7 linked regions of the Canis lupus familiaris genome follow. The protein of the gene in region 3 purifies or fractionates together with the protein of the main gene of each other region. This does not show direct contact. Links are inferred from orthologs where the notes say so. Each region holds a gene or a part of one and is shown on either strand. Other genes may lie near its edges. The genes, in order: ACBD5, TACC1, VAPB, AKAP11, OSBPL10, ARHGEF12 and LSG1.

The links.
Region 1: the proteins of VAPB (region 3) and ACBD5 purify together in Homo sapiens (affinity purification with mass spectrometry; 4 studies listed by BioGRID and IntAct, counting the BioPlex papers as one, with this or other methods). This does not show direct contact. The link is inferred for Canis lupus familiaris from reciprocal best matches to the Homo sapiens genes VAPB and ACBD5.
Region 2: the proteins of VAPB (region 3) and TACC1 purify together in Homo sapiens (affinity purification with mass spectrometry; 3 studies listed by BioGRID and IntAct, counting the BioPlex papers as one, with this or other methods). This does not show direct contact. The link is inferred for Canis lupus familiaris from reciprocal best matches to the Homo sapiens genes VAPB and TACC1.
Region 4: the proteins of VAPB (region 3) and AKAP11 purify together in Homo sapiens (affinity purification with mass spectrometry; 3 studies listed by BioGRID and IntAct, counting the BioPlex papers as one, with this or other methods). This does not show direct contact. The link is inferred for Canis lupus familiaris from reciprocal best matches to the Homo sapiens genes VAPB and AKAP11.
Region 5: the proteins of VAPB (region 3) and OSBPL10 purify together in Homo sapiens (affinity purification with mass spectrometry; 4 studies listed by BioGRID and IntAct, counting the BioPlex papers as one, with this or other methods). This does not show direct contact. The link is inferred for Canis lupus familiaris from reciprocal best matches to the Homo sapiens genes VAPB and OSBPL10.
Region 6: the proteins of VAPB (region 3) and ARHGEF12 purify together in Homo sapiens (affinity purification with mass spectrometry; 3 studies listed by BioGRID and IntAct, counting the BioPlex papers as one, with this or other methods). This does not show direct contact. The link is inferred for Canis lupus familiaris from reciprocal best matches to the Homo sapiens genes VAPB and ARHGEF12.
Region 7: the proteins of VAPB (region 3) and LSG1 purify together in Homo sapiens (affinity purification with mass spectrometry; 3 studies listed by BioGRID and IntAct, counting the BioPlex papers as one, with this or other methods). This does not show direct contact. The link is inferred for Canis lupus familiaris from reciprocal best matches to the Homo sapiens genes VAPB and LSG1.

Annotation. Positions count from the first base shown.
Region 1 is NC_049223.1:4,726,527-4,730,026, reverse strand, and holds part of ACBD5 (acyl-CoA-binding domain-containing protein 5), read left to right. Parts: intron 1-1,758; coding exon 1,759-1,879; intron 1,880-3,500. UniProt on the Homo sapiens protein: Acyl-CoA binding protein which acts as the peroxisome receptor for pexophagy but is dispensable for aggrephagy and nonselective autophagy. Binds medium- and long-chain acyl-CoA esters.
Region 2 is NC_049237.1:27,450,074-27,453,573, forward strand, and holds part of TACC1 (transforming acidic coiled-coil-containing protein 1), read right to left. Parts: intron 630-3,500; coding exon 1-629. UniProt on the Homo sapiens protein: Involved in transcription regulation induced by nuclear receptors, including in T3 thyroid hormone and all-trans retinoic acid pathways. Might promote the nuclear localization of the receptors.
Region 3 is NC_049245.1:43,969,102-43,972,601, reverse strand, and holds part of VAPB (vesicle-associated membrane protein-associated protein B/C), read right to left. Parts: intron 1,975-3,500; coding exon 1,871-1,974; intron 1-1,870. UniProt on the Homo sapiens protein: Endoplasmic reticulum (ER)-anchored protein that mediates the formation of contact sites between the ER and endosomes via interaction with FFAT motif-containing proteins such as STARD3 or WDR44.
Region 4 is NC_049243.1:8,448,249-8,451,748, forward strand, and holds part of AKAP11 (A-kinase anchor protein 11), read right to left. Parts: intron 2,526-3,500; coding exon 2,442-2,525; intron 1,658-2,441; coding exon 1,611-1,657; intron 1-1,610. UniProt on the Homo sapiens protein: Binds to type II regulatory subunits of protein kinase A and anchors/targets them.
Region 5 is NC_049244.1:13,246,347-13,249,846, reverse strand, and holds part of OSBPL10 (oxysterol-binding protein-related protein 10), read right to left. Parts: intron 396-3,500; coding exon 1-395. UniProt on the Homo sapiens protein: Probable lipid transporter involved in lipid countertransport between the endoplasmic reticulum and the plasma membrane.
Region 6 is NC_049226.1:13,568,684-13,572,183, forward strand, and holds part of ARHGEF12 (rho guanine nucleotide exchange factor 12), read right to left. Parts: coding exon 3,370-3,500; intron 2,363-3,369; coding exon 2,327-2,362; intron 1,978-2,326; coding exon 1,823-1,977; intron 435-1,822; coding exon 288-434; intron 1-287. UniProt on the Homo sapiens protein: May play a role in the regulation of RhoA GTPase by guanine nucleotide-binding alpha-12 (GNA12) and alpha-13 (GNA13). Acts as guanine nucleotide exchange factor (GEF) for RhoA GTPase and may act as GTPase-activating protein (GAP) for GNA12 and GNA13.
Region 7 is NC_049254.1:31,813,509-31,817,008, reverse strand, and holds part of LSG1 (large subunit GTPase 1 homolog), read right to left. Parts: coding exon 3,368-3,500; intron 1-3,367. UniProt on the Homo sapiens protein: Functions as a GTPase. May act by mediating the release of NMD3 from the 60S ribosomal subunit after export into the cytoplasm during the 60S ribosomal subunit maturation.

The sequences.
Region 1 (3,500 bases), on a different chromosome or scaffold from region 3:
GTAATAATTTTGTATAAAAATAACATACAAACAGAATGTAAAAAATTTTAAAACACAAGCAAACAGGAAAATAAAAATAATCTCTATGCTTAGTATCTCCAGAAATATCTTCTTTAACATTTTGGTGTGTTTCCTTCTATTCTGCTTTTGATGCATATAAATATTTTGCAAAAATGAATTGTATTTGATATGCTATTTTTATTTTATTTTTTAAAAGATTTATTTATTTTGTTAGTTGAGAGAGAAAGCACGAGTTGAGAGGAGAGGCAGAGGGATAGGGAGAAACGGACTCTGCTGAGCAGGAAGCCCGATGTAGGGTTTGATCCCAGGACCTTGGTATCATGACCTGAGCCAAAGGCAGACTCTTAACCAACTGAGCCACCCATGCCCCTGGATATGCTATTTTTGAACTACTGGTTTGTTTGTGTGTTTGTTTTTCTTTTTTCATTTTATAATAGATTGTGAAACTTTTCTCAAGCCATTCTTTGTATTTTCATAATATATAATTTGTAAGGGCTGTAGTTATAAATCATCCAGTTGTATATATGTATATACGTATCATAATTATTTTGGCATTACCTATTATAAAACATTGGCATTCTGATTTTCCTTGTTATGAAATATTGCAACTTATAGTACTAATGCATACAATAAATTTTTAAAAGGTTACCTTTTATAAAAAGGTTATAGGTATGTTAGAGACATGTATGCACACTGATTTTCAAAGAAATTGATGTGTTCAAAATTACAAAGGTAGGAAGTGTGAAATCTCTTTTATCTTGGATTGATTCTTTTTCTATCACAGCACACACTGGTTGACTTTAGTCAAACTTCCTTATCCATTAAGAAATTGAAATTTGGCCAAGAGAGTTGAATTTCTTTTTTTTTTTTTTTTTTGAATTGAATTTCTTAATATTGAAGTTTCATTAAGCAGACTGTACATTTAACTTTTTCACTTATGCTAGGCAGTTTGATTTGTCACTATCCTTGTTTAGAAAATACCTTATTAATAGTTGCATAATGCAGCTATTCTGTATTTTCATATATTGCTTTTTGAAATGATATTTTCCAGTTAGTTACATCTAGAGCATATTTGTTCATTTATCCTTTTATTTATTGAACTATGTTAGGCATTGTTATTAAAGTGTAACAATCTCCAGAGTTTTTTTTTTTTTTTTAAGATTTTATTTATTTATTTATGAGAGACACAGAGAGAGAGGCAGAGACATGGGCAGAGGGAGAAGCAGGCTCCGTGCGGGGAGCCTAATGTGGTACTCCATCCTGGAACCCCGGGATCATGCCCTGAGCCAAAGGCAGACATTCAACTGCTGAGCCACTCAGGTGCCCCAAGAGTTTTATTTTCTTTTATTATTATTTTTTTCTTTTTAAAGATTTATTTATTTATTCATTCAGAGAGAGCGAAGAGAGAGGCAGAGACACAGGTAGAGGGAGAAGCAGGCTCCATGCAGGAAGCCCGATGTGGGACTCGATCCTGGGTCTCCAGGATCACACCCCGGGCTGCAGGCAGCGCTAAACTGCTGCGCCACTGGGGCTGCCTGAGTTTTATTTTTTTTTTTTAATTAGAGGACTAAAGCAACTTACAGAGCCATGACATTTGTTTCTATAAGACAAATAAGTGATTATCTGAACTATTAATGAAATATTTAAAAATCACTATTATTATAACTGAGCTGATTTATAGCTTTAGATTGTCAATTGTATTCTCCAGGTGATCTGTTTTTGATATGTTTCCAATAGGTTCATTTCAGCCAACAAATGAAATGATGCTCAAGTTCTATAGCTTCTATAAGCAGGCAACTGAAGGACCGTGTAAACTTGCAAGGCCTGGATTCTGGGATCCTATTGGAAGATATAAATGGTAATTTCATATAGGGAGCTATGAAAGGAATTTTATTTTAATGACATAATTATCATATGACTTATTTATGTGGTTACATATTATTCTGAGCAGATACTGTTCTAGCGTATTGGATCCGATTTTTATCCTCCGCGTTCTTTTAACACAATTTCATATGAAGAGAAAAGTCTTGGGGAAGAGAGGAAAACAGTAAAACCAAAAAGGACAGGTGTATCAAAGATAAAAAAATCATTTTCAGGTAGTCTTTCCTTTTAGGAGTTTTTTTCATTTTATTGTAAGAAGAGCAACTCCCAAGAGCAGTTAAACTCTCCTGCCTCTTTTACCAAGAAAAATAATGACTTTTACTTGCCAAGTGACACTGTTTACTTTGAGCCTTTAGGTGATAAGTAACTAGGCACATGCTGTGCTAACTTTTGGTCTGGGCTATCACTCTTGTCCCACTGTACTTGAATAGAAATTTGATTTTTAATATACATAAGAAAGTCGTAAAATAGCCAGAGAAACCTCCATAACATGGACTGTACTTTAGGAACAGAGTATGCTAGCTGGTGTAGCAGATCTTAAGAGCCACACATTTTGATGGTTAAATTTATTTACACTGAATTGGAAGTCCTTAAACTCCTTTGAGGATTTCTTAGTACTATATTTTCCTCTAAGTTCTTTGTGAATAGTCATAAATAAAAGGTTAAATGTAATAGCTGTCTGTTAGTTGATCTGTTTTAAGACAAGTGATTTACCTTACGATTTTTCCCTCAGAATTGACCATTGGTGGATTTAAACTGCTTCTGGAAAAAATGTGTAAAAAGAAAGAGTTTCATTATAGGCAAAAATTTCAGAGGACTGTTGTCCTTATCTAGGGGTTTAAAATGTCTTATGCAAAAAAAATAATAAAATAAAATAAAATAAAAAATGTCTTATGCCTCACATTTTTGTTTCTAAGAAGTAGGAAGCCACTTTTATTTTTTGAGTATATGTTAGACTCTTGTTTAAAATTAATGGAAACTTTTAACCAGAATTTCTGTTCATTTAAAACATGGCCATGATAGTTCATTTCATATAGAGTCTTTTAAAATGTTCGTTACTGTCACCATTCTTTATCATACAAAATTTTTGAAGAGTTCTTAGCAAATATTTTTCAACAATATATAGTATCTACTCTATGGTATATATAATAGTCTCTGTAACTTATAGTTTATAATTTACAGATGGGCTACATATTTACTACTTTTAAATAATATTTAATTTGACAGTTTATTTTCTCTGATACTTTTTTTTAAGATGATACTTTTATTTCTTTTTTTAAGATTTTATTTATTTATTCATGAGACACACACACACACACACACACACACACCCCAGAGGCAGAGACACAGGCAGGGGGAGAAGCAGGCCCCATGCAGGGAGCCTGATGTGGGACTTGATCCCGGGACTCCAGGGTCATGCCCTGGGCCTAAGGCAGGCGCTAAACTGCTGAGCCACCCAGGGATCCCCTAAGATGGTACTTTTAAAGAGATCCTTTGGAAGCATAATATTTTTGTATAGGCTTTAAGAAGAAAGCCTGTTTTAAATTAATGACCCTATAGCATTGACTACAAATTGTATTCTGAGCAATTGGAAATTG
Region 2 (3,500 bases), on a different chromosome or scaffold from region 3:
ATCGTTGGTGTCACTGCTGGGAGTGCTTGATGTTTCCTTAGTATCAGGGGGAGATTTCTGGATCCTGGCACCTTCTAGCAAAGAACTTGTGTTCCCATCCATCTCATCAGGACAGAATTGATAGGATGCCTGGGGGAGAGGCGTGCCCTCTAGGGCAATATCAGTTTCTAAGAATTCGCCGATTGTCTTCTTCCTCAGAGGGACAGGTTTGGGTTTTCTTAGCTTGCTTCTGCTGGGAACAGGCTCTGGAGAGGAACTGCCAGCCTTTAGATCAGATTCTGTGGAAGTTTCCAGTGTAACTCCCATGGTGCCTTCTGTCATTGCCTTGTCCAGGATGGCTTCTGGTATGCTGGAGGGCGAAGCCTCCCCCGAGACCACAGTTACACAGCCATAAGCTGCCCTTGTGCCTAGAGCTGCTGGGATATTCGTGGAATTCTTGGCTTCTATTGAAAATGGCCTCACTACTGAAATTCTGCTACTATCATGTTCAGGTTCTTCTTTGAAATCCTTGACCAAGTAAGAATCAACAGCCTGCTGTGCTACCTCATTTTCTGAGGTTCTAGAACAAGTTTCAGATGAACATTTTTCAACCACTTCTGCTACCAGCTGTTCATCAACTTCTTGTGATTCTAAAACAAAACACAAAGGCCATCTATTAAAGACTTATCTTTTTGGCATGTGTAAATATTCTCTACTAGCTGAATTCACATAGACCAGCAGCAAGTTCCTCCCTCTTTGCTTTTATTAAGGTTCAGCAAGGTCAGCAGAGCAGTCTAAAAGGAAACAGCTAGTACTACACTCTAAATAAATTTTCCTATCCCAAATTGTATACGTGTTTCATCTCAGTTATACAAACAATAATTATACAAAATAGAGCTATTGAAGAAAGAGCTAAATAGATCGAGAGACTATTGCAAAGCATATTAATGTGATTATTAAAATTCCTTAGGTTAAAATAACTGGTTTGGAAAAAACGTGAGATGCTGCCAGTGTAGGCAGAGGGGTCAGAACTGGCACCACAGTTTCCAGGCACTTCTTGACAGCTTCAGGGTCTGAATGTTATGCAGTAAACAGATTTTTTTTTTTTTTTTTTTTTTTTAGTAAACAGATTTTCATCTTTGGATGTCAAAAACTAGTATTCCCTCTTCCCTAGAATAATGTTTAAATTATTGAACCAAAATTAAATGAAAAACCCACCATGGCCTACCCGCCATGGCCTGCTCAGAGGAACTTCTCTGTAGACTTAAAAAAACCTGAAAGAACCAAATAAAAAAACTAATTTGAAAAATCAAATACAGAAATAGCTTAAAAAACAAATAGTCCTGAGGTACCTCGCTGGCTCAGTTGGTAGAACATACAACTCAGGGTCAAGCTGGGCATAGAGCTTACTCAAAAAAGAAAAATCAACTGGATTTAATAAGACTTAAAAAAAAATGAGGCTATTTAAAAACAACACATACAACAACAACAAACAAATAATCCTTATTTTACTAAGATAGGAATCATACAATAATAAAGCTATTTCTTCTTTAGCTCTGTCACTGAGCTGGGCCAGGTATTCAAAGCACTTGTGAAAAACGAAGATCCTCTTTAACTTGGGTTTTATTAGAAGAAATGCTGGAATTAGGAAGGTGTACATGAGGGTATTTCTTTAAAGCACAAACTAAGATAGTGTTTTCCTGAGTTATATACCTGAACTATAGAAGAACAGCAGCAAAAACCAAATAAATTGGTATGATCATGGTATCTTGGGATTTTAAAGGGAACTCCGTGATGCCCCTCTAACCCTAATCCTCATCCAGGATCAAAAAACTGAGCACAAGAAAAGTTTTTTAGAGCACTTGGATATATTTTCACATGACCCCTTTATGACTAGAATTAAGGCAGTGCCTTATAAACTGTTCTGCACAGATGCTTCAGACACTCTACCAATGTCCAATGTCCGTTCTGTTTCTGTTTTCAAATGTACATTTAACTGTTATTAATACTGTAGTTTTTTAAAAAAGATTTTATTTATTTATTCATGAGAGACACAGAGAGAGAGAGAAAGACAGAGACCCAGGCAGAGGGAGAAGCAGGCTCCATGCAGGGAGCCCAATGTGGGACTCGATCCCAGGACTCCAGGATCATGCCCTGGGCCGAAGGCAGGTGCTAAACCACTGAGCCACCCAAGGATCCCCAAATACGGTACTCTTTAAAAAGCTCTCAACACATGATATCTTGGATTTGCTTTAACATATTTCAAAAGAATGTCTTCTTAAAAATAGAAAGGGGTGCCTGTATGGCTTAGCGGGGTACGCATTGGACTCCTGACTTTGGCTCAGGTCATGATCTCAGGGTCATGAGATGGTGCCTCTCATCACATCGGGCTCTGTGGTGGGCATGGAGCCTGCTTCGGATTCTCTCTTCCCCTAGGTAGCTTCAGGATGAGAGCTGGTCACTGGAAAGGCCAAGCCAGGATGATGGGATTGGAACTTTCAGCCCCACCTTACCCTCACCTCAGGGGAGGAAAGAAACAGGAAGTGAAGTCTAATCACCAATAGCCAATGATTTATCAACCATGCCCATGTAATAAAACCTACATAAAAACCCCTAAACAACAGGGCCTGGGAAGCTTACAGGTTGCTGACCTCCTCAAAGTGCTGGAGAGGTGGTATACCCAGAGAGGAGAGGGCAGAGATGCTCTGCACCTTCACCCCACTTTGTCCTTTGTGCCCTGAGTTCTGAGAATCATCTAAACAAATTACCAAATCTGAAGAGGAGGGCTGTAGCAACCTGCACATTTACAGCCAGTTGGTCGGAAGTACTGAAATTGTACTGTTGCATTGCATATGCAACTGGCATTTGAATGAAGTTGGTGGGAAGGGAGGCTCAGAGTCTTGTGGGAATAAGCACTTAATTTGTGGGGCCCATGGAAACTGTGGATAGTCAGAACTAACTGAACTATTGATGCCAAGTTGGTGTTGGAGAATCTGAGAACATATAAAACAAGAAATTTGCCTTGAAACAGTGAATAATCAACAGAGATAGCCACAAAGGCACCTGAGAGTTTTTAAAATGATGCTGTTAAATACTGCAATATTATATTTTCCGTGCAAAGTTTCAAACTCATGAAGAACCACTTTACATACTTTCTATAAATTTTAAATCTGCAAAATTAAGAAATTAGACAAATTGTTAGATACTGTTAGTAACTCAACTCTGAAACACAAATTTCCTTCTGCTTCTCTTCCAGGCTTCCAGGACAGTTTAACTCAACTAAGTGTTTCAAATTCTCATTCATCACTACTGACTTGTTTAAGTCAAGGTTTTCTTCTCAATAACCTATAATCCAAACACAAGTGAAATACACTGATTTAGACTCCAACTGAGTTATTTTGTATTTTTCAATTTCATAAATCCCATTGTTTTAAAAATATCTTGGGGATCCCTGGGTGGCACAGCGGTTTGGCGCCTGCCTTTGGCCTAGGGTGAGATCTGGAGACCCGGGATCGAATCCC
Region 3 (3,500 bases):
CCTGAAGTCTGTGTCTTAGAGTCAAGTGGTTCGGCAAAAAAAGAAAGTTTATAAGAGAAATAAAGCAAATGTGGCAAAGTATTAAATGGTGAATCTAGATAAACGTTATAGGAGTAGTCACTGTATAATTTTTTCCACTTCTATTCTATAGATCAAAATACAAAAAAAAAAAGTTAAAAATAAAGAAATAGCACAAGGCTCTGAATAACAGTGATTAGGTCTAGTATAAATAAATAAATACAGGTCAGTTTTAGTTTTATTTGTGCTTATTTGTATATTTCCAAATTTTCCTACCATATACATTTCATATAAAAAATTTTAACTGTTATGAAAATTATCATAAAAAGGAGTGAAATTCACCCTCATTGTATATAGAGGGCCTGGCCTATAATAGTGCTCAGATACAACAGCTTTGGAGACTGTGCCAGGTGTCTGACACACACAGCACACGGAATCCCACGACCAGTGTAAACTACGTTTTTATCCCCCTTTTACAGGTAACCCAACCCTATAGAGAGTTAATGAAAACTGCCCAAGGCCACAACATTAGTAAAAGGCAGAGCTCAGCCCCACACCCAAGACACCCAAGCCCATGCTCTTGTCACTAAGCCATGCAGCAAAAGCCAAGCAGAATACATTCTTGGATATTCCAAATTTTGTATTTGCCATACATTTCCTTGCTCACACAAATTAACATGAAGTGACACATCATGTTCTGGGAATAAAAGAGAAAGTAGTAAATGCCTCAATAATCATTCTTATGAAAGGGGAAGGTAGTCTATTATCACTCATCTCTCTCAAATCTCAAGGTATCTGGCTTATCCCTCATCTCCTGCCCCAAACTTAAACATCCACAAAGATGGTCATTTGTGCTTTTCCAAGACTAACAGAAAAGGCTGAATGGGACACTGGGACACAAAGGGAAGTGGTGCATAGAAAGCCCTTTGCATAAAACTTGAAAGAGAAAAACCACGGTGCTCTGTGAGCCACCACTGCCTCCCAACTGCAGGTACTCCTCAGGTGACCAGTCTCCTAGCCTGGGGGTGGTGAGCTGGAAAGTGATGATGCAGATGTTGAGGGAACCTTGCCTTCCTCTTCCCATGTGTGAATGTGAGGACTCTCCAGTCTAGTGGGGGCTGTGTAAGGTAAGGTTTATCTGTACATTGTGATTCCTGCAGACAGCAGAATGTCCGCCGATTTCTTCAAATGTGGAAAAGTTTACTTTAAGAAGAATTTCCATTATAACCTTTTCCCAGGAAAACCAATAATATCACTTATTCATTTTATAAAAACAAAGTCATCTTATTTTTACTGAAATTAGAGAAAGGGTTAAACATGTATTTAAGCAGGAAAAAAAAAAAGAGGGAAATTAGGGAGGGGGAAAAAAATCATGCTTACCAGAACCAAGCAAGGAAAAAACCCTTTGGCACTGGAGGACATTTAAGTATTTCATTGTCTCACATCCCTCTGGGCTCTTGCAGGGTGGGGGTCAGGGTGGTGGACAGGGAGAGGTGGTAAGAGGCATTCCCTATACTAAGAAGTACCCTTTCCTATGGAGGATGTAAAGGGGGTATAAAGGGAAGAAATCCTCAAACCATTTAAAACACAATTCATCAGAACAAGGAAGTGCTGAAGCAAACTGTGATTTTAAAAGAGTCAGAAAAGAATAGTATTCTGGAAAGTTACATAAAATGTTAAAATAAAAATTTGAGGAAAAACCATAAAGGTAGTCAAAGTACAAACCTCCTTGAAAACACCATTCCCCTTTAAAAACAACTTTGACACATTTTGAAATGCATGCACCCAAAATTCTGTACCTCATCATTTTTTTTTTAATTACTAAAAAAAGTAAGAAGCATTCAGTACTTACTACTGCTTCCATATCAGAAGTGTCAGTCGGAGCAAACATAGACTGAACCATAAACTTGTGTTTACTTTTCTCATTGGGGTCATAATCGAAAGGCTGTAACATCACTGAGAAAGAAAATATTTCATTAGGAGGGTCAGAGCTTGGTTACCCGCAGCCATTTGTTATGTTAAAACTTGTACCTTGGTTATAAAGCAGTTTACCAGGATTCTCATCTGAGTCTTATAAACACCCCAGGTGAGGCCAGCAGGGCAACATGCCTAGTGTCTTCTCCACTTTTCACGTCTCAAACCTGAGATCCAGAAGTTGGGGGACTCGCCCAAATCAAAGAGCAAGTAGTGGGAGAGCTCGGACTTGGGCTTAGGATCCAGGTTTTTTGATTCCTAGCCCCTGGATCATTCACAACTGCCCACCTGACACAGAGGTCTGATATAGGCCCTACAGACGAAGTAAACTAGGTACAAATACCATATGCTTTTTTGCTCAAGACAAAACAGCAAAATGATCTTTTCAAAAAGTAAACTAGAAGAATAATCCAAGACATGTAAGTGACAGTCTCATTTTAGCTTTTCTTGGTCCCATTTCCCCTATCAAGGTATTCATGTATTGCTTCAAATACAATTTGGCCAATGCAGAGTCAGGAAATTTTCACAACCAGCACAATCACAGCACGGGAGAACATAACCAGCCTACACCCCAAAAACCTAGAGGAATCTCATATACAGGCTCCCTCCGGCAAGTCACGCCCACTGCACTAAGGAGGTGCCTCCCTGTTCCTACTGGCTTCCTTAGAACTTTCCACCCTTCTGAAATGGTGGCTGCTTTGAAATACATGATCCGCTGATCCGCTGCAAGGCTCTGGCTAAACCACACATCTGGATAAATTCCGACACACACCTTTTCACACGCAGCAAATGCCTCCTGCAGCCCTGACCATGAGAAGCCCTAATACAAACTCAGTGTCTCCCATGTGCCAGAAACCTGGCTCTGTATGTTAGGCTCTGTATGTCATTTAACTTTTAAGAGGTAGGTACTGTTGCAGAGATTATTTTAATGCCTGTTTTCAAGTGAACAAACTGGAGCACAGAAAGGTTAACTAACCTGACTGAGATCACACCATGAAGGAGGGACACTCAATGCAGGTGGCCCACCACAAAGGACTGACTCGTCCTCTACCAGGTCGAGTGCTGTCCTCCACAAGCGCCTTTCCTGCAGGGCACTCATCGGGTTCTGTGGCCTTTGAGCCCCATCTTATGGTTTCCTCTAAAGCTTACTATCCACTACCCTCTGCAGCAGATAAAGGGCACATGTCCTAAACCCTAGTTCACACTGTCATGAAGCAGCAAAACTTCAGAGCCAAGTGCAACCCAGCACCCACTCCTTCTGCCACACCAGTCACTCCAATAGAAGACAGATTCACATTCTGCGAATTCACATTCCCCTATCATATCACATAAAAAAAAGCAAATAGGGAATCAAAATGCAAATATCCCTGACATCCATCTTTGGGACACAGAGTTCCCTCTACCTTCAGGACAGAGAAAGTCTACTGAAATCCAACAACACAACAGATTTCAATGTTTCGGTACACACAGTTGCCCAGACAATTCTGCTGCCCACATCACCCATCTGA
Region 4 (3,500 bases), on a different chromosome or scaffold from region 3:
ACAAGTTTCTTTTTATGAAAATTATGTTCTCAACATAAAGAAGGATGAATCGCTGTTGGCTATAAAACTAATGACCTGTAGACCCATATCATCACTCCTGCTTAAAGAGGGCTGAGCTAAAAGCAGAGCTCACACAAGTAAGTGCCCTCCCACACTGAGGTGAACAGTGGGCATGCTGGCAGACGTCACGTCAGTTTGTGCCAGTCGTGGAAATTTGTTGGTGACGGTCCCTGATTCTTTTTTAAAGTTTGCAGGGCATTCTAGACTACTACTAATCATTTCTAGGATTTGTGTTGGTCCCTAATGTTTTCACTTAGACAACAGATCTGTGTCATTCTCTTAAGATAAAAAAAAAAGTACTGCCTTTTCCCTCCTCTCCCCTCAATGACTCTCAATCAAAAAAGGGGTCTGGTACACCATGATATCATGATACCAGACATGACACAACTTTCCTAGACAAAGTTAACATTTTTTTCAGTCAACAAAATAAAGCAAATATTACCTAGCCTATCTGTATCTCTAAAAATATTGACCTATCCCTATGTCATATCCAATGACAAAAACTTACTTCTAGAAGCCCTATATGAAGAATGTCTACTTAAAAACAGAATGTCTAACTTAGCAGAAGCACTGGGACTAAAAAATAATCACCTCAAGTCTGAGGATTTTAGCTCAAAAATGGGTACATGACTTCCCTAAATAAGAAAGGCATAACTGGAGGTAAAACTAACTGGACACTCAGGTGTTAATAAAGTACATTTCAAGAATTCATTTAGGCATTTTTCTCAGTTTGCCCTACTTCTAAGGAAATGATGAAAAAAAGCACTAGCTCAAAAACAAATATCTCAAACACTATAAATATTTTTAGGTGCTGCTCTATAGAAGACATTATTGGTATTTTCATAATTTAAAAAAATAAGCCATCTAAATAAACCAGCTGAATGAAAATTCAGCTTCAATATAGAAAGTTTCTACATTCACTCAGATACTCTAATATTGGAATTAAGGATTACAAATCATGGTCCAGAACTCTGTTACCAATGACTTCTGGTATTTAGATATTTGGCACTGTGTTCATCAAAGGAAGAACTGAATATTTTCTTCAAATATGTCTATTTGTGAATTCAGGAATAGGACTGAGAGAGGGAAGAATGTATCTTAAAATATCTTTTAATTTTTACCTTCTGATTTATGTAAGATCAACATTAAACACTAATTTAAGAAGTTACTAGTTTGGAAGGATAAAACTAGAGCATATGCCATGATTTTAATAAATTATATATTATAATGTAAGGGTTTTATGTTTTAAAAAAGATAATTACACAGAGAGAGATTATCATAAATTTCCCTCTCAAATAACTGAATAACTCTTTTTAAGTAATTCAGTTTTCACACCAATGGGTACACTTCATTAGTTTAGCAATCAAATGGTACAAATGGTTCAATAAAGGACCTGTCACCGGATACATTAGTTCAGGACTGTTGTGATTTGCAAATACCCTAATTTATAATAACCTGGAGGCCCACAGATGAAAACGCACGAAGTGAAGACTCTTCTAGGAAACCTTATACAAAAAAACATGCAAACACTTTGAAAAACAGTCATTTACCTTCTCCATCATCCTCAGGATCTTCATCTTTATCATCTGGCTCATCACTTTTCAAATAAAAGAGCAGAAGCAGTTAAAAAAAAAAAAGCTTTAATTAAAATAATGGTACTAAAACCAATTCTTAAAACATGGAAAAGAATGAATGTTACGATATGATATATGACATTTAAAAAGGTAAGAAATGACAATTTAAAAGGAAGCTTTGCTTCTCACACCATTTCACGTTAAAATCTGAATTGTAAACGATGCCTAAACAGGTAGGTCATCAGTAACCAAGAAGGCCTACCTTACCGTGATACAGAACACCAAGTAATTTCATGATCAAATTTGATTTCAAATAATTTAAAGTTAAAATAGTCTACTAATTTGGTTCTGGATAACACAGCATTTGAATTATCATAGAATGCCATGAATATTCATTAATGCCTCTGCTGATGTCATGTACATATTTTTAACAGAGTAAATTTTTTTCCTATGCTTTCCTTAAATATGAAGTAAAATTACATACAAAAACAAATAAAACAACAACAAAAACCAGAAATCCTGTAGGAAGCAAGCTCTTTTTAATGAAATAGTAATTGGTAGGATGAAAAATAGCAGGCGGAGCACTACATGCATAGATGTAACACATTTTGCAATTAGAGGTCAGTTGTATCTTAGCATAATTGAATTTTGTCATTAGATGTAAATTATCAAGCAGGATCAAGTCCAAACACAGGAGGAAAGCAGGTTGATACATACTGGCACTGTAACCCACGTTCTTTTCAGAGTATGACATCATGCATTAGTGTGAAAGACTCATCAGTTTGTAAGTTTCTGGACCGGACCAACCTGTCTGATGTTGGAAAGGATAAATTGTCCTCATACAAATCTCCTTCTAAACCAAGACTGCTCCAGCTACTGCTGTTACCATTACTGCCAGAAGAAGAAAAGAACAGAGCTGAACCAGAAAATGAATAGTAAAGACGACCTGGGTTTTCCTTGGAACAGCTTCTGTCAGTGGTAAGTGGGAGGTTCGGGTGAGAGCTGCCCCCGGGGAGGGGGGCATCCGTGGAGGCAGAAACCATCACGGCTACCGACGGATTCGGGTGTTTGGGAGTTTTCTTATTTGGCCTCCACACATCAGGAAAAATAGTCTAAATTTCTATTTATTTCACGTATGGACACAACAGAATGACTTTTAGGACAGTAGATGAATGCCTCAAGAAGTTTCATGATTAAATTCATGTTTAGGCAAATCTTGGGCTATAATTTGTAAGAAGCCAAAACTCTTCAGTTTGGGTAAAATTTTAAAAAAATCACAGGTTACCGTTAACATTCTCTCAGCTCTTTAGACAGATGGATTTGGTACTGAAATAACAGGCACCAAACATAATCCCAAATAGACCTTTTCTAACTACTTGGAGAAAAGATGTTTTCTGATTTCTTTTTTTTTTTTTTTCTTGATTTCAAAATACCCTTATTATGTCAATTACCTTCATTTCATACATTATGTATAATTCAGTAGGTGGCAAATAACATCCATTTTCATCAGATTTTTGAGTAATCAAGGCTTAATCGAGCAATACACCTGTCTGGTGGGCCAGTCACTAATGCCACACAGACACCTTAAACTATCTAATCAAAAGAGGAAAGCAAACGATATCCTAACATTGCAGCAAAGCAAAAAGAAACAATAAGCGACTGTGTTCAGAAACAATACTAAATTTAATTTTTCAGATTAAAACCTAAACATGCGATTTAAAATTCTAATCATTAAAATAATTAGTAAGCACATTAGTTCGCAGTGATAAGCAGCTTATGTTTCCCCACATTAGGCTAGGCAATTACAAAAATTAATATGTACACAAAACCAAAATTTTGGTTTTAAAAAGTGAATTAACACAAAAT
Region 5 (3,500 bases), on a different chromosome or scaffold from region 3:
TCCTTGCACTCACAGTAGAAGCAGGAGATGGGTGGGTGATGAGACACCTGCTCGGCCACAAACCTTAGTTTGTAGCTTGTGGAAGGGTCCTCGGCTACCGAGTGTTCGTGGCCAGCAGGAGAATGGGAAGCAGTCCTCTTTGGCTTGACCCTGTCTTTGGGGACCTCCCAGGAGCAGTGAAACGTCTCACCGATGATGGGGTTGTAGGGCTTCTTGGCCAGGGCCCCCTTGCGGCCCTCATGGAAGGCTGTGAGATAATACTCCACAAAGCAAATGACTCTCTCCTCGGGCGTGGCTCCCGCGGTAATGGCCAGCAGCAGGTCTGGGTGTGCCATAAAGTCCGCGTACATCTCCAGCAAGGATCGCTTCTCCAGGATAAATGTGGGAAGCACCACCTACATTCGGAAGGAGACAAAGTCAGACAGGAGACCCCGAGATTACGTGGAAAAGGCTGCAACCACCACCAAGCAAATCCATCGTGGCTTAAGCCAGAGAACGCTGTCTTTTGATTCATATACAAGCGACAGATTAGGGGAAATGACATCAAAGAAGACAAGGTTGGAGAAGTGGCTGCTGTGGTGGCATGATGCCACCCCACTTTCGTGGACTAGATGGTTCTGCGTGGCTTGCTTCTCTGCTCATCTGGACTAGAACAGCGGTCTCTACTTCCCCCTCCACTGCTGTCACCATCCCCAGACAAAACCCTCTTTTACTAACTCCTTATTACTTAGAGATGTGAAGAAAAGAGCACAAAAGGACTTCTTCCTTTTCTTCCTGACATCAGACAACCCAGGGGAGTGCTCGGTGTGTCCCCACAAACATGGGGCTTTTTGGTGCTGCATCAAAGGGGGTCCAGGTAGACCAGCACACACCACCACTAAGAGGGTTTATTTGGAGATCTCTGTTAGAAGAGTAGCATCCAAATCCCAACACGATCAAGGCAGAGCAGGAGTGAGGAAAGGACCCATGGCCCAGGTCTCTGGGAGGCAAGACCAATCAGCTAGCAAGCAAATGCCCAGAGAGCTGCCATGCAGAGGAAGGCCCATGTGTGGAGATTGCTCTGCAAGGCTGGGCCAGAAGAAATAAGCAGAAGTTACAAAGAAACAGGCTGACACTTAATACAGAATCTTCTGGCAAATGGACTGGTACAGGGGCTTCTCATGGGATTGTTACTGACATCACTATCAAAAAGAGGAGTAGAAATCTGGATGCTTCTGCCAGGGACGGGACCGAGACTCCTTGTTGATCCAGAGAGGATGCATGTGGTCATCGGGTGCCCCACAACCCCAATGAGGAAGTCAGTTAAAGCAAATGAAGGCCATTGTGACATTGGGCTGGAAAGCAGGTCCCTTATTACTATCGCTGATAGGCGGAGGAGAGCGAGCCTGTTCCTCACTGTTCTAGAGTGATCTTAAAATGACTTCATTACTGGGTATTAATACCAATCACTTGGCTGCAAGGCACAGCTCACTTTGACCTGGAGCATCTCAGCACAGGATCATGAAGCTGGAAGTCTAGCCATGGCCTGCTGGCTCCTCCCTAACACCCTCCAGGAGAAAGAGACAGAAAGAGAAGAGAGGGAGGCAGAGAGAGAAGAGCCACACAAGTTCAAGGCGATGCAGCTGGCTTACACTCCCTCCTTAAAGACTGAGTCTCCTTCCTTCACACAGTCCCCAACTCCCGAGAAAATACTCTCTGACTGCAAATGTCAAAAGGCTTACAGATCTGCAACCCTGCCTCCACCTCAGCTTGCTCAGACCCCTCCTAGCAAAGGGTGTAGATACAATGGCAGAGGGATGTCCTGAGAGAAAGAGACAGACAGGCAGACAGGAGATCAGCAAAGCACAGAGATTTCAGAGGAAGCTGGAAAAAGTCCAGCCCCCTGGAGAGGGGACTCTGCTATCTTTATTAACGCTTTTCTTGAGATTAAATACTACATTAGAGGAAAGAGTACGTACATTCATTAAGTAAAAAAGCAGCCAGGGGATCCCTGGGTGGCTCAGCGGTTTAGCACCGCCTTCGGCCCAGGGTGCGATCCTGGAGACCCAGGACCAAGTCCCACATTGGGCTCCCTGCGTGGGGCCTGCTTCTCCCTCTGCCTGTGTCTCTGCCTCCCTCCCTCTCTCTCTCTCTCTCATGAATAAATAAATAAAATCTTTAAAAAAGAAAGAAAGAAAGAAAGAAAGAAAGAAAGAAAGAAAGAAAGAAAGAAAGAAAGAAAGAAAGAAAGAAAGAAAGAAAAAGCAGCCAGATGTAAAGTCAAACATGTGACACAAATCTAGTATTACAAAAAGACCCCAAATGTTAACATGTATTTCTTGGTGTTAGAATTGAGTGATTTTTATATTTTTTTATAAGTCTCTTTCTGCTTTGCTTTTACAATATACTGGAAGAAAAGACACAACTATGCAAATCAATGGATATTTCTTCATTTTCCTTCAGCCAAAACTTGACAAAACTGAGACTCTGGCTGCCCCAAGGCTCTGAGCTGGCCAGGTAATGGACATTCTGGCTCAGAATGGCCTTCAGAGGCCACTGTGATTACTTCCTACATCTTTTGTGGGGACAGGTCACCATTCAATGGCCATTGCTGTGCTGTAGGGCGTCTGCTTTTCCAAGGGGGCTCTCGGGCCAGGGGCTCCCTCCACAGCAGGCGGCCACTGGCAGAGTAAAGGGGAGGCAAGCGCAGCCCCACACTCTCACCATGGCTCCCTCTCCTGCCCCCCGGCTGCCCAGGGTCACCCTGGGAGCTCTGCCCGACAGGCTGTGCGGGGACTAGGGGCTTAATCAGCCGTGGGACACCCCCCAATGAGGCCAAACAACTGAAAGAGAAAAGAAGCCACAAATGTCTGCATCTCCAGGCCTTCCCGAAACCTCCCCATTTCTTGTTCCTTCCCTCCCCCCGGCAGGGCCCGGTGATCATGAGAGAACCCGAGAGGGAAAGGGCGGAATTAGGGCGGGAGGCCAGCCCCAAACGCCCCTGCCGAGAGGGTCGCTAGGCGGCCTCAGCTGCGCCCTCTGCCCCTGGGGGCTGGGGCCTCTCTGGCAGCAAGTCCGGTGCTCCGGACAGGGGCATCCTCCAGCGTGTACCCGAGCCTGGCATCACAAGGAAAGACCCGGCCACCAGGGTCACCCTCTCCATATATACTTTTGAAAAGGGCAAGAACAGAAGGCGGTTCCCCCCAACTTAGCATTTCTGAACTCCGAAGCTGAAGAGTTAAAACAAGATAACCAGGGGACACAACGCCACTGACACTCCAAATGACTGACTGTCAGGACGGAGAGGGCCCCTCCGGGTGATGGAGTCCAACGCCCGGGTCTCCAGGTCGGGGGACAGAGACGGCAGATGGGGAGCGAAGGCACCACACAGGAAACTTGAGGCTCCCAACTGCCACCCCAAATTCTTCCCATTACCCCCCACACAACACAATTATCCTGCTTCTGGCTAACGGGAGCATTTTCTTTCCCTCAGTGGACAAGGCAGGTGAGAGTTCACTGGA
Region 6 (3,500 bases), on a different chromosome or scaffold from region 3:
TTAAAAACATATACACTACAATTGATAAGAAATTTCCAAGGGTATTTATATTTTTCATCTTTGACATTAACTTTAGATCCTAAGTCCTGTGGTAGCACTTCATATACAAAAGGCTAATGGTGTGGATGAGCGTCTGGGGAGGGGGATGTTCAATGATCTGATCACTTCTTTATGTTATATGCTCACATACAACATGGATGCACTTAGAAAAGTTTACTGTTATGATGCTTTTATATACTCACAATCTTTCATCTATTAAAAATGTTAGGGACAAAGATTTTTCTTACTGTGAAGTTGAAGAATATCTTCCAAGTTTGAAAAAATCTTCCGTAGTTCTGAAGGGGACAGAATTCCTTCCCTGGACACTCGCTGATAGAATACTTGATCAAGAACCTTTAGTGTTCGGACATGAGCTCTTTCAGTGTAGAACAATTCTAAGCAGAGAAAAAAGGAAACATGAAATGTTACCTCGTTCTGAATAATTCCGTGAGACCAAACACAGGCTCTAGCTGGAATTAAGCAGCAAATGAGCTCTATAATAATTATTTATAGTTTTAAAAGGATGTAGTATCTCTCATGTCACTTTCTAGATTGCATGAGACCCTCCTACATACCGGCTCTAAGAGCTGAGTGCTGGCAAATGAAAAATATCATTCAAAACTATTCTGGGGGCCCTGGGGTGGCTCAGTGGGTTAAGCGTCTGCCTTTAGCTCAGGTCACGATCCCGGGGTTCTGGGATGGAGAACCGCATTGGGCTTCCTGCTCAGTGGGGAATCTGCTTCTCCCTCTATCCATGCCCTCTGTTTGTGCTCTCTCTCTCAAATACAATCTTTTAAACAAACAAACAAAAAAACCCCAAAACTATTCTGTATATTAAAGTTAACAATGGGGCTCCTGGAGAGCTCAGTTGGTTAAGTGTCTGCCTTTGACAGGTCATGATCTTGGGGTCCTGGGATCAAGCCCCACATTGGGCTCCCTGCTTGGGAGGGAGTCTGCTTGTCCCCTTCCTTCTGCCCCTTCTCCTGTTTGTGCTGTCTGTCTCTCTCTCTCTCTCTTGCTCTCTCACAAATAAATAAAATCTTTAAAGTTAACAATGTACTCCAAAATCCTTTTGTCTTTTCACAACACTATTCACCAATCATAGCTAATAACATCAGAAAGCAGTAAGCCCAAACACCATTTAGCCTATTATTTCTTCAAAATAATAGTACTTTTGGTTATCTGATTTGCCTATAAACCCTCATTTCTGAGGCTAGACTTGTTATTTCACTATGTCTCAAAGTTATCAGACACAGGAAAGGTATTTATTGAAATCGCATCCTAAGGATAGTGGAGGGCACAGCATCCATGTCACCCACATCTTTGTCACATATATATATTAGGGCAAAATAAAGAACACTGCACTAGGGTAAAGGGACACCTGACTCCCAGTTTTGTCCCTATCATTTATCAGCTAGCTATATGATCTTGATTCATTCAACCACCCTGGGCCTGAGCTTCCCCATTTATACTATGCATAAAAATAACTTAACGATGAGACCAGGCTGCCTTAATGACTGTTCAACTTCAAGATCTATAATCCTATGAATCTTAAACATCTTGAAAGCTAAACACCTTTTCCTTTTAAATTACCATTAAGAACACAGAATCATTTGCATGTTTTGAGTTGGAAAGCTCAAGGATCATCTATCTAGTTTAACTCCCCTCTGTATAGAACAAAAGGCTAGCAGAAATTTTGAAGCCAACTCCAAAGCTTGGGGGCTTGTTTTAGTCTAATAAAACTCACTGTATGTGAACAACAACAAAGTCTAATTAAACTCACCATTAATTACTTCCTGTCTCTTGATCTCAGAAGGCTTTAGGCCCAGTAACACTTCTCGACTAACGAGCTGTTGCCAGTTGGGTGGATCTGTCTCTAAGTCATTTTCAAACTGTTCATCCTCACTTTGACTTTCTCCAAAAGCTATGCTGTCAAACCTGAATGAAAAAAACCAAAAACCAAAAAACAACAATGAATTCTATTTGGGGACATCAGATGGACAATGGGAAATGGAACAAGTTTTTCTATTACAGTAAATAAGTCATATTTCTGAAGTACTGCTTAGCACAGGGCCTGAAACATCACCCTCTCCTACAAAATGACTTATCTATGTTATATATACCTCTATAAATATCTTTTGAATGATGTGTGTTTATTAAGAATTTTCTTTTATACTAACAGATTTGTATACAGGTTTTCCTTTCCTTTAAAACTACGATGTCAGAGAAAAAAAGATATTATTTCTTAAAATATGCCTCTATTGAAAGCTACTTTAGGATTACTTACTTTCGAAAGGGTTTTGGTGTCCCATGCTCAGTCACCCTAAAACAATGGGGAACAAAGGGTCAACAAGAAAACAAAACAGTAATCAAGAAATTTATGCCTGAACATTTTCCAAACATACAAATGGCCAACAAGATAAGAAAAGATGTTCAACATCACTCATCATCAGGAAAATGCAAATCAAAACCACAAGGAGATATCATCTTGTCAGAATGGCTAGTATCAAAAAGACAAGAAATAACAAGTGTTGGCGAGGATGTGGAGAAAAAGGAACCCTTGTGCACTGTTGGTGGAAATGTAAAATGGTGCAGCCACTGTGGAAAACAGTAAGGAGGTTCCCCAAAAAATTAAAAATAGAAATACCGTACAGTCTACTAAGTTCATTACTGGGTATTTACCCAGAGAAAACAAAAACACTAATTTCAAAAGGTACAGCATAGCGAATACAGTCAGTGGTGTTCTATGATGACAGGCAGCAGCTACACCTTTGGCTAGCACAACATAAGGTATACATTTGTTATCACTATGTCCTATACCCAAAGTGAAGGCAATGCTGTATGTCAACTACACTTCAATGAAAAGGAGAAAAAAGAAATTTATGCCAGCAATACTAAAAACTGGGTTAAACTACAGTGACGGATAAATAATTCTTCTAGATAGTCAAATGATTTGATACAAAATAAATTTAAAACACTTCAGTAGAGACACCTGAGTGGCACAGTGATTGAGAATCTGCCTTCAGCTCAGGGCCTGATCCCAGGGTCCTGGGATCAAGTCCTGTATTGGGCTCCCTGCAGGAAGCCTGCTTCTCCTTTTGCCTATGTCTCTGCCTCTCTCTGTGTCTCTCTCATGAATAAATACATAATCCTTTAAAAAAATAAAATAAAATAAAACATTTCAGTACCTAATATTTACTACCAATAAGTTCTAGGACTTTCCCAAAAAGCACATGTGGGGGAAATGCTACTAAGTGTAGGAATAATATACAATGAAATAGCTGAGGGTTCTCCTAACATCCCCACCCTCCAAAGATACCACTGAATCACCTTTCCACTTCCCATTCCTCCTCCTGCACTTGGTCTAAGGGAGGAGGTGGGAAATCAAAGATGGTATTGGGAGTCCGAGGGGTATTATCTATGCAGTCTCCAGATGCTGGTGTTTCTCCAACTTGCTTTGA
Region 7 (3,500 bases), on a different chromosome or scaffold from region 3:
ATACACGGGAGCAGGTCTACAAGGTAGCTGGTGAACCCTAGAAGACAACTGAAGGTAGTAGCAAGGGTTCCCTGAGAACAGATTATGCAAAAATGGAATGTTCTACTTGGTTAACAGTTCAGGGAATATCACATTAGTAGTTGCAGAAAGTAATCTTTTTTTCCTTTCTTTCTTTTCTTTTTGTTTTTAAAGACTACCTATTTATTCATGAGATAGACAGAGGGAGAAGCAGCCTCCCCGTGGGAAGCCCGATGTGGGACTTGATCCCACGGCCCCGGGATCACGCCTTGAGCTGAAGGGAGATGCTCAACTACAGAGCCACCCACCCAGGTGCTCCTCTTTACCATTTTTTTTTTAAGATTTTAATTTATTCATGAGAGACACAGAAAGTTAGAGAGGGGCAGAGACACAGGCAGAGGGAGAAGCAGGCTCCTCACAGGGAGTCTGATGCAGGACTCGATCCTGGGACTCCAGGATCACGCCCTGGGTCAAAGGCAGGCGCTAAACGGCTGGGCCACTCAGGGATCCCCTCTTTTTCCATTTCTTTTTTTTTTTTTTTTTTTTAATTTTTATTTATTTATGATAGTCACAGAGAGAGAAAGAGAGGCAGAGACACAGGCAGAGAGAAGCAGGCTCCATGTACCGGGAGGCCGATGTGGGAATCGATCCTGGGTCTCCAGGATCGTGCCCTAGGCCAAAGGCAGGCGCCAAACCGCTGCGCCACCCAGGGATCCCTCTTTTTCCATTTCTGACAGTTATTGGGTTGGTACATCAGGGCTAAGCCATACAGTGATAAATATTTAAAAACTTCAGTAAAACATCAGCTTCCAGTAAAGACTTGAAACAATAGAGATAATGGCTAAGAAGACAAACTGAAGCCAATAATGTTTAAGAGGACAAACTATGGGGATCCCTGGGTGGCGCTGCGGTTTAGCGCCTGCCTTTGGCCCAGGGCGCGATCCTGGAGACCCTGGATCGAATCCCACATCGGGCTCTCGGTGCATGGAGCCTGCTTCTCCCTCTGCCTGTGTCTCTGCCTCTCTCTCTCTCTCTCTCTGTGACTATCATAAATAAATAAAAATTAAAAAAAAAAAAAAGGACAAACTATGAAGCCAGACTACCTGAAGATAATAAGCATTTATGTTTCTTATTGGGATGATTAAATGAAGACAATGTATAAATTGCTTAGGACAGTGGTGCCTGGCACAGGATAAGCTTTCTATGGATTTTTATTAACAGGAGTAACAACTGAATAATTACTATTGTTATATCCTTGTGAACACATCTGTACTCATTACATCAGAACCTTTGGTTCAGAGGGCTCAGTTAAGTTCACAGAAGGTTACGGAGCTCTCTCCTTGGTCCGGTTTTAACAATGTTGCCGATGACTGGAAAGAGTATCAGAAGGACAAACACAAAATTTGCATATTCAAAGCTAGGAGAGAAAAGCAAATTACACAACCAAAATGAATTCTCTACCTTAGCCCCAAATCATGAACAGTATTTCAGAGGAACCGTACTGTCCTAAGTTGAGGTAAAAATAAGATGAAAAACCTTTTCCACATGAGAGACTTAAGTGATGAGACTTAAGTCTTTTTGGTTGTTTACAGATTAAATGAGCTAAGAGTGTAACATAGCTCCTCTGAGATACAGTGAATTAACAAAAACAGAATTACTGGGAGGATCCGGATGACATGGAATAATCAATTGTCCCTCTGAATACCTAACATATGTAATTAGGTGCCACCAATTTTAAGTGTTTTCCTGATTAGGCAGATAGGCATCTGAGATGAAGAGTGCCCCAGATAACGTGTCCAAGATGAATAAGAACCCAGAAAACATACACAGAGAAAACGAAGGGGACAAAGAAAGAGTCCTTATATCAAAGGCTAGGGAGGCTGACTTAGCTTCACTAAACTGAAAAACTTTCTAAATGTAGACAAAGAGGGGGCTAGCTGGTCTCTGTCATTTAATGTAGTTAAAAAAAAAGATTATATGACTTTGCCATGGAGGTGAGGGAAGGAATTCACAGAGCTAATCTGTGAGCTCATCAAGAGGAGGACATTGTATTCACTGACATTCAGCTCAACGTACAAAATAATCTCTAGACGGCTGACAGATATGAGAAAAGGAAAGGAAAAGGCTAGGAAAAAAGATACTTTAAGTCTCTTCTGGCTCTAAGATTTTTTTTTTAAAGATTTTATTTATTTACTCATGAGAGACACAGAGAGAGGCAGAGACACAAGCAGAGGGAGAAGCAGGCTCCCTGTTGGGGGAGCCCGATGTGGGACTCAATCCCAGGACCCCAGGATCATGCCCTGAGCGGAAGGCAGATGCTCAACCACTGAGTCACCCAGGTTTCCCTAGCTCTAAGACTCTACTACTGATTTCATTTGATAGTCATTATTAGCTAATAGTTGTATTTTTTTTTATTAGAAAATAAACCTGAGGGCTGGCTCAGTGGTGGAGCACGTGACTCTTGATCTTGGGGTTGTAAGTTCAAGCCCATACTGGGTGTGGGACTTAAAAAAACAAAATAAAACAACAAAAAGACCAAACCCAAACCATTTCTGTAAAATTTGAGTTAATAGATAACATAGTAGGGCCACCTGGGTGGCTCACTGGCTGAGTGTCTGCCTACGGCCCAGCGTGTGATCCTTGAGTCCCACATCGGGCTCCCCACATGGAGCCTGCTCCTCCCTCTGCCTCTGCCTGTGTCTCTCCTCTGTGTCTCTCATGAATAAATAAACAAAATCTTTAAAAAACAAAAAACAGGGCAGCCTGGATGGCTCAGAGGTTTGATGCCTCCTTCAGCCCAGGGTGTGATCCTGGAGTCCCGGGATCCCACGTCGGGCTCCCTGCATGGAGCCTGCTTCTCCCTCTGCGTCTCTGCCTCTCTCTCTGTCTCTATGAATAAATAAATAAAATCTTAAAAAAAAAAAAAAATAACACAGTATATCTTTAGAATTACTTCAGTTGTTTGTTTTGAAAACAATGTCGAAAGAACTTCTAATCACGTCCTGAGGAGTACAGGTACATACTTTGGTTGTACTTGCCTCCTGCTAAAAACAATTATAAGGTCATTATGAAGCTTCCTATACAATTTCCTTTCAAAAATCTAAAAAAGGAAAAAAGAAAAAAAAAAAAGAAAAAAACCATCAGTCTATAACACAGAGCCCGAGATGTCAGACTATTTGATGGCCAGAAAAAGTAACCCTGTGACTCATTTTTCTATAGGTCATCCTACTATCAGAACATTTAAGGAACAAACAAAAACCCTGGATTCCCATAAACCTTCAGTGAGAAAAACAAAGCTTACTGAAATCCTCCTCCCAGAAACACAATCTGAAAAAGCCCCCCAGGTTACCTCAGAGTCCCCAGTTGGTTGAATAGCTGCAGCCAAAGCCGACCAGAAGATAATCTTCACATCTTCTTTTTCAAAATATGTGGCCCAGGCACTCCGCTGCTCAACAGTCAACAAGTCTGCCTTATTTATCAAA